Neurospora crassa OR74A: one gene and its partner. The protein of the gene in region 1 interacts with the protein of each later gene in a biochemical or structural test. Links are inferred from orthologs where the notes say so. Each region holds a gene or a part of one and is shown in the gene's direction. Other genes may lie near its edges.

Region 1 (3,684 bases):
TGCTGAGGTCTTGGAGGACGTGGGTGGCGGAGGTATCCAGGTCGGTGCCGTTGTTGATGCTGGCTGGACAAGAGGTAGGGGCTGTGTAGTAGGTGATTTTGATGTTCTGGAGGGGGGTGTTAGTCCACGTTTTCGGTTATTAGGGGTGGAGGAGAGAAGGGAAGACAGACGTCGGGGAGGTTTAGGCTGGAAATAGACTTTGCCATGCCATCGGTCATGGACTTGGAGGAGTTGGGGTTGAGGATCAGGATCCTGATTGGTTCTTGCTGGGCGGTAGTCATGTTGACGAAGGAAGGGGGGTGAGTGAGTGAGGTGAATCGATAAATGGTCTGAGAGGGAAATAGTCAGGTCTGAGTCCATTTTGGGAGGTATCATGAAGTACTCAGTTTGAAAGATTGACGATGGTAGAACCTGAATGGGAACAACCTACTAGTATCGTAATGAGTTGGTAAAATACCGATTGTATCGACGGCCTGAGTGAGAAAGAATAAGGCAACAAAGGGTCTGATAACCACAAATGAAGAATCAAAAAAAGAAGGGACGGGAAGAACCAATATCAATCTCCACTCTCAAATGCACAATCCATCCCGTCTGATCTCTCACGATGCCCAACAAGGTGCATGTACTACTGAAGGTACAAGTGCGAGTCTCATGCGGGGTATCACGTGGGTACCCTAATGCCTGCCACTTCCTTGGGGTCCAGAATCCTGCCAAGACCCGCTTGTCATCGGCGCTCGTCCTGGTCAAAATAATCGAGACCTTTGACATGATACCTTGGCTCCTTGGGTATACTGCTGACTCTCAAGTTCTAGGCAATTACAGAATGAAAATGTGTAAATAGGGCTCTAGCTGAGGTCTTTTTGAATTGTTATATTCCCTGTCACGGTCTTGCAGCGGTCTTTTCTATGATCTTGACGTCTAGTGAACTGGTTTACCTAGCCTGCTCGCTCGTCTCCTTTATTTTGGCTCAGACGAGCGGCGCCCTGTTTGAAGGAAAGCTTGGCAGTTAGCGAATGACCCCACATATCGATGCTACCCCCCCAGCTAGGCTACCGCGCTGGACTCCAGCTAATTACGGTGCCGTAGTCCACTTCGCTACCGTAACCCGGACAGGGCACCGACACCACTGCACCGACCGACCGACGGGACCACCGACACTTGGTTCCTGTTGATTCACCCGCGGGAGCTTTCCATTCTAGCTCCGATATACACTCGATATTCGAAACCCCGACGAAGCTATTCGCAACTCCATTGAAAGTTACCAAACCAAACAGCCGCCCAGCATGGCCAACACCGACGCTCCCATTGGTACGTCAGCTCTTCTCTCCGCCAACAACCCCTTATCCATCTGGTGTCTCGAGCTCAAGCTACCTTGACGACCACCAACACCACCACCACCCACCCATCTGCCTGACCGCGTCATCACCGTCGCCATGGCAGCTGTAGCCGTCGGACTCCGTCCTCAATCACTTCCACTTCACAACAACAAAATGAGCACAGCGCCCAGCTAACACTTCCCCCCTCGAACACAGTCCTCGATGGCGGTACCGGCTTCCTCAAGGTCGGCTACGCCGCCCAGAATTTCCCCGAATTCCAATACCCCTCGATAGTCGGCCGCCCCATTCTCCGCGCCGAAGAAGCCAAATCGCTTTCCGACTCCTCCGACATTGTGATCAAAGACATCATGTGCGGTGACGAGGCCGCGGCCGCCCGTACCATGCTCCAAATCAGCTACCCGATGGAGAACGGCATCGTCAAGAAGTGGGACGACATGCAGCACCTATGGGACTACACTTTTCACGAGAAGATGAAGGTCGATACGCGGGGAAGAAAGATCTTGTTGACGGAGCCGCCTTTGAACCCGTTGAAGAACAGGGAGCAGATGACCGAAGTCATGTTTGAGCGCTACGACTTTGGGGGTGTCTATGTCGCTATCCAGGCGGTGCTGGCATTGTATGCTCAGGGTATGTCACCGCTCCTTTACACGGCGACTTGAGGAAACAAGTAGCTGACAGACAACGCGCAGGTCTCTCCTCTGGTGTCGTAGTCGACTCGGGCGACGGTGTCACGCATATCGTTCCTGTCTACGAATCCGTGGTCCTCAACCACCTTACCCGCCGCCTCGATGTGGCCGGCCGCGACGTCACCCGCAACCTGATCGCCCTCCTTCTCCGCCGCGGCTACGCCCTCAACCGTACTGCCGACTTCGAGACCGTCCGCCAGATCAAGGAAAAGCTCTGCTACGTCTCGTACGACCTCGAGCTCGACAAGCGCCTGTCCGAAGATACCACCGTCCTCGTCGAGAGCTACACCCTTCCCGACGGCCGCGTCATCCGCGTCGGCTCCGAGCGGTTCGAGGCCCCCGAGTGCTTGTTCCAGCCGCACTTGGTGGATTGCGACCAGCCGGGTATCGCCGAATTCCTCTTCAACACCATCCAGGCCGCCGATGTTGACGTGCGCTCCTCGCTATTCAAGGCGATCGTCCTGTCGGGTGGTTCCAGCATGTACCCCGGCCTTCCAAGCAGACTGGAGAAGGAACTGAAGCAGCTGTGGTTGACGCGCGTGCTGGGAGGCAACCCCGAGAGGCTGAGCAAGTTCAAGGTCAGGATCGAGGACCCGCCGAGAAGAAGGCATATGGTCTTCTTGGGTGGTGCGGTGCTGGCGAATATCATGGCGGATAAGGAGAGCATGTGGATTACGAAGCAGGAGTGGGAAGAACAGGGCGCGAGGGTGTTGGAGAAGTTGGGTCCTAGGTAAGGGACTACCGAGGGTGAAGCTGTTTAGACTACAATAGCAGGCGATATAATGTTTTCCGTTGGTAGGTAAATAAAGGATAATGCGAGAGTTTGTTAGAGCTTGCTTGGGCTGGTGTAATTTTGTTGGTCCCGACAGGAGAAATCGAACAATGGCCTTGTGTCAAGAGTCATGGTCTTTTGGGATACCATGAAAGAAGTCCCCAATATCACAACGGCGCCAACATCAAGCAAGATGCGGACAGCGGAACGGGACGGTCCCGGACAAACATCGGGAAGACGGAAAGGTGAAATGGTCCACCCCCACTTGTTGGACATCGATACGGTACGCTAAGGCTGGCGGCGATACAGTGGCTTATCAGAGCTGACACACTAACAGAAGCAAACATCATCAGATCTCTGCTAGCCTGACATGTCGCTGGTGACGAAAAGGGTAATTGATGTTATTGTTTTCCTTCGTGTGTCACTTTGTTCTTGCCTTTGCGACAACAATATCAATCCAGCTCGTCGTCAAAATCCCCAGACCTGTCGTGTTCCCAGATCCTCACCGGCCATCTTTACTCGATTTCTCCAAACTCTCAAGCCCGGCTTCCATCGCCCAGCTACCGGCCACGCTAACACACCGTCTCCGCTCATCCATTCCCGAGTCTCACAGTGGTTTTCCCCCCGGGCCCGTGCAGATCGGGTACGGCTCAGATGACATGCCTCCGAAACCGAAATGTGAGTCGATGAACTTGATCCAATTCCTTCATTCAAAACATCATCCAGCCCTCCCAGCATGATCCCTTCAGTGTGTATCTTGTGCCCGGTTATATAGTTTATTTTCTCCAAATTCCCGAGAGCATCTTCAAACACAAAACAGACGGGCGGTGACTGCCCAGCCTCTCACTACCAAGTCACTACCTTGCATACACCAACCTCACTCTTATAA
Region 2 (3,192 bases), on another chromosome or scaffold:
ACACTGCTTCGATATTCCATGGGGATCGGAAAAGGAAACATACACAACCTAGGCACGCCCGGCAAGATGTGCACATTCCCATTAACCACCGCAACTGGCACCCAAAGTTCCTTGCAAGGAAAGAGGAACTGCTTCGCCAGGTCTCTGTTGACGTCTGTCGGTAGCTCCACCATACGGAGCTTTGCGGTGAGAACGGGCGAGGGCTCGTCCCAGTTGAACGGTGGCTCGCCCTTGCGAGGAACAGAAAGCTTCTTCATGAGTTTAAAAGCCTCTTCGTTCAGCTTGAGAGGCAAACCGAAGGCTTTGGCTATCGATTGGTAGGTAATGTCATCGTGGGTGGGGCCGATGCCTCCGCTATTGTTCAATGAGGTCAATGATGTGTCCTGGACACTCGAAGAAAACTCGGTGTTGGTAGTACCTGGTGACTACAAAGTCATAACGGTCACTCATACGGCGGACAGCCTCGACAATTTCATCTTCGTCGTCGGCGATGACTTCAATCCTCTTGAGATTCTGATATGGGGCATCTACAGTGAGCTTGGTTCTTCTCGGGACTTTAGAGTGGATGGCTGGAGCTCACGATTCCCAGGTTGAAGCACCATTTTGCCATGTAGTTGGAATTAGTCTGTAGTAAGTCAGCATTGGCGCGTCAGGGCAAAAATTTACGAGTTCTCGACTCACATCTTTGGTCTACACAACAACAGAGAACAGCTGTTAGTCTCATTTTCGGCTATCACCCTACTAGCACGTCTTGACTGGACCTGCCTTTCCACCCAAAACCTCATCACCGATAATCAAACACGCTGCTGTATGGATAGTCCGCGCATTGCGCTCATCTGCCGTGACTGTTGAACCCATAATGCTGTTGAAGAATGCTGTTGAAGTCCGGCGCGGAGCTGATGTTGATGGGGCAACAAATGACGTTATCGCTGGCCGTAACAAGTGCCGAGCAATCTGGGATAAACGAGAGAACATGAAGGTTTTAAGTCCAGGAGAAGTTTGTCTTGTAAGACAAAACAGATTTTTGAGGTTGAAATAACAGAAGAGAGGATTGAGAGGGAAGTCCACTGCAAGATCACAACCACAATGGGAATGAGATCGGGTCTCCGGCTTGTCTTGCCCGATGCGTGGTCGCGGCACTGGTGCCTGCCATCGCCGTCCATTAACATGATCCCCGCCCAGGGAAGGAGGCTAGGCGGCGCCTTCCCCGCTCCGTTTTAGCGGGTCAAGCTGTTAAGCTTCCGCGGGCTAATGGCCGGGACAGCCCCGCCATCAGTGAGGAATCGATAACAGCTTACGCTACGGGGCAGATACCTCAGCAGTTGAGCTGTGGACTTGGCAGTGATGCCATGCGGGGCCGACTTGCGTCCCTGGGACGGGAGCCTGGACGAGGGCGGTGTCTTGTACATGACAGCTCAATGCGACATCTTTTCGAGCTTCAACTCTTTTGCTACTATCCCAAAGCTTTGCGACATTGCCTGTTCCCCTTCGATTTCCCTCGCGACCACTTCCTTCTTCTTGCCGTCCGAATCTTGCGTGTTCGACCGACCCGAAAACAGCTCTTCACAATGGTGCGCCGCCGCTTTCCTACCTATCGCAACATCCGATCCATCCACACCACCAGCTCCTCTCTCCAGCTTCTAAGCTCTTGAAAGAAAGCAGCTTCTCGAGATTCTCAAGAACCATAGCTGATGCCGAAAATGCCAGGCCTCCGAAGCAAGACTCTACACTTTCTCCCAAGAAACCAAAGACCACCTGCGCAAGTTCCGCCTTGGGACTTCGCGCTCCAACGACCCCCAGGCCGTCATCTGTATGTATGTTCCCGTTATCCCCCCCCGGACCCTATCTCTGGCTATCGGTACAGCAGGTCAGAAAAAACTAATAGGTGTATCGCGCAAAACAGACCTGATCGATAAGACAACCAAAGAGATCAAGCAAGACGACGACAAAGTTGTATACAAGACCCTCGAGGAAATCGGCGATGACCTGCCCGATCACAGTCCGAGATTTGTGTTGTTGAGTTATCCCCTAACTCTTGTAAGCCGCCCTACTCGTCGCCCTGCTCGTCAAACATATATATCCACCTGGTCTTCTCGAAGAATGGCTGGGTGTAATGGAACAGATGAGAACTGCGACTGACAATGGCGTGGAACAGCCCTCCGGCCGACTATCGGTGCCCTACGTTATGCTCTACTACATGCCCTCGACATGCAACAGCGCAATGCGCATGTTGTACGCGGGTGCCAAGGAGCTGATGCGCAACACGAGCGAGGTGACTAAGATTATCGATATCGAGTCGCCGGAGGAGCTGGAAGAGATTCCGGCCAAGCTTGGGGCTGCTTAGACGTGTGGCAGTAAAGGGCGCCGAGCTGACAGCCTTATTATGGATGGACGGACGGGCACAAAGGTTGGTCTCCAGAGCGACCAACAGGGCCCGGCGTGAGCTTTCACACAGAGCTGGCAACTGGGACGAGGAACAAGCAAAGGGAGGCCATTTGGAATGGAAGGCAAAGTACAGCCAGATTCTGGATCATTCATGATCTTCTCGTTATATAAACGCCGTGATATCCCAGCCTTACAAAGCCAAAAAGCAGTCCCTGAACTCCGCCCATGCTATGGCCATTACTTCGCTCAAGCGTCATCCTCCTCCGGCATCACGACCTCCGGATCCAATCCCATCTCCGTCGCCAGCCCCTTGACCACCCCCTTCAAGGCCCTACACGCCGGGCTATCCGGGAAGCTATCAAAGAAGCTCTCGCCATAATCGCACGCCATGCCAATCCTCGGATCAAGCGGCACGCTCCCCAAAAACGCAATCCCCATCTCCTCCGCAAGCTTCCTCCCGCCACCTGTCGTTGCCTTAAAGATCTCGCTCTCGTGCGTGCACTTGGGGCACACAAACCCGCTCATATTCTCCACCAGTCCCAACACCTTGATCCCCGCCTTCCGGCAAAAATCAATCTCCTTCCTGACATCCAACAGGGACACTTCCTGCGGCGTGGTAACCATCACAGCGCCATCAATCCCGCTCTTTTTCAGGTACGTGTTCACGCTCAAGTGCTCATCCGACGTGCCGGGCGGCGTATCCACCAGCAGGAAGTCCAAATCGCCCCATTCCACATCCTTCAGAAACTGCTTGATCAGCCCGTTTTTCTTGGGCCCGCGCCAAATAATCGCGTCGTCGCGGTTCGG

The links.
Region 2: the proteins of arp2 (region 1) and NCU10777 form a complex in vitro, tested with the Saccharomyces cerevisiae proteins (2 studies listed by BioGRID). The link is inferred for Neurospora crassa OR74A from reciprocal best matches to the Saccharomyces cerevisiae genes ARP2 and AIM7.

What each region holds. Positions count from the first base shown.
Region 1 is NC_026505.1:6,357,564-6,361,247, reverse strand, and holds arp2 (actin-6), read left to right. Parts: upstream 1-1,080; 5' UTR 1,081-1,283; coding exon 1,284-1,308; intron 1,309-1,532; coding exon 1,533-1,964; intron 1,965-2,026; coding exon 2,027-2,757; 3' UTR 2,758-3,140; downstream 3,141-3,684. Other genes in the region: NCU07170 (hydantoin racemase), read right to left, coding at 1-106, 171-281. UniProt on the Saccharomyces cerevisiae protein: Functions as ATP-binding component of the Arp2/3 complex which is involved in regulation of actin polymerization and together with an activating nucleation-promoting factor (NPF) mediates the formation of branched actin networks.
Region 2 is NC_026504.1:5,112,180-5,115,371, reverse strand, and holds NCU10777 (GMF family protein), read left to right. Parts: upstream 1-1,425; 5' UTR 1,426-1,568; coding exon 1,569-1,571; intron 1,572-1,707; coding exon 1,708-1,810; intron 1,811-1,903; coding exon 1,904-2,037; intron 2,038-2,155; coding exon 2,156-2,344; 3' UTR 2,345-2,606; downstream 2,607-3,192. Other genes in the region: NCU08824 (molybdopterin binding domain-containing protein), read right to left, coding at 44-354, 419-513, 581-625, 682-690, 766-858; NCU08825 (cytosolic Fe-S cluster assembling factor nbp-35), read right to left, coding at 2,632-3,192. UniProt on the Saccharomyces cerevisiae protein: May be involved in mitochondrial organization and biogenesis.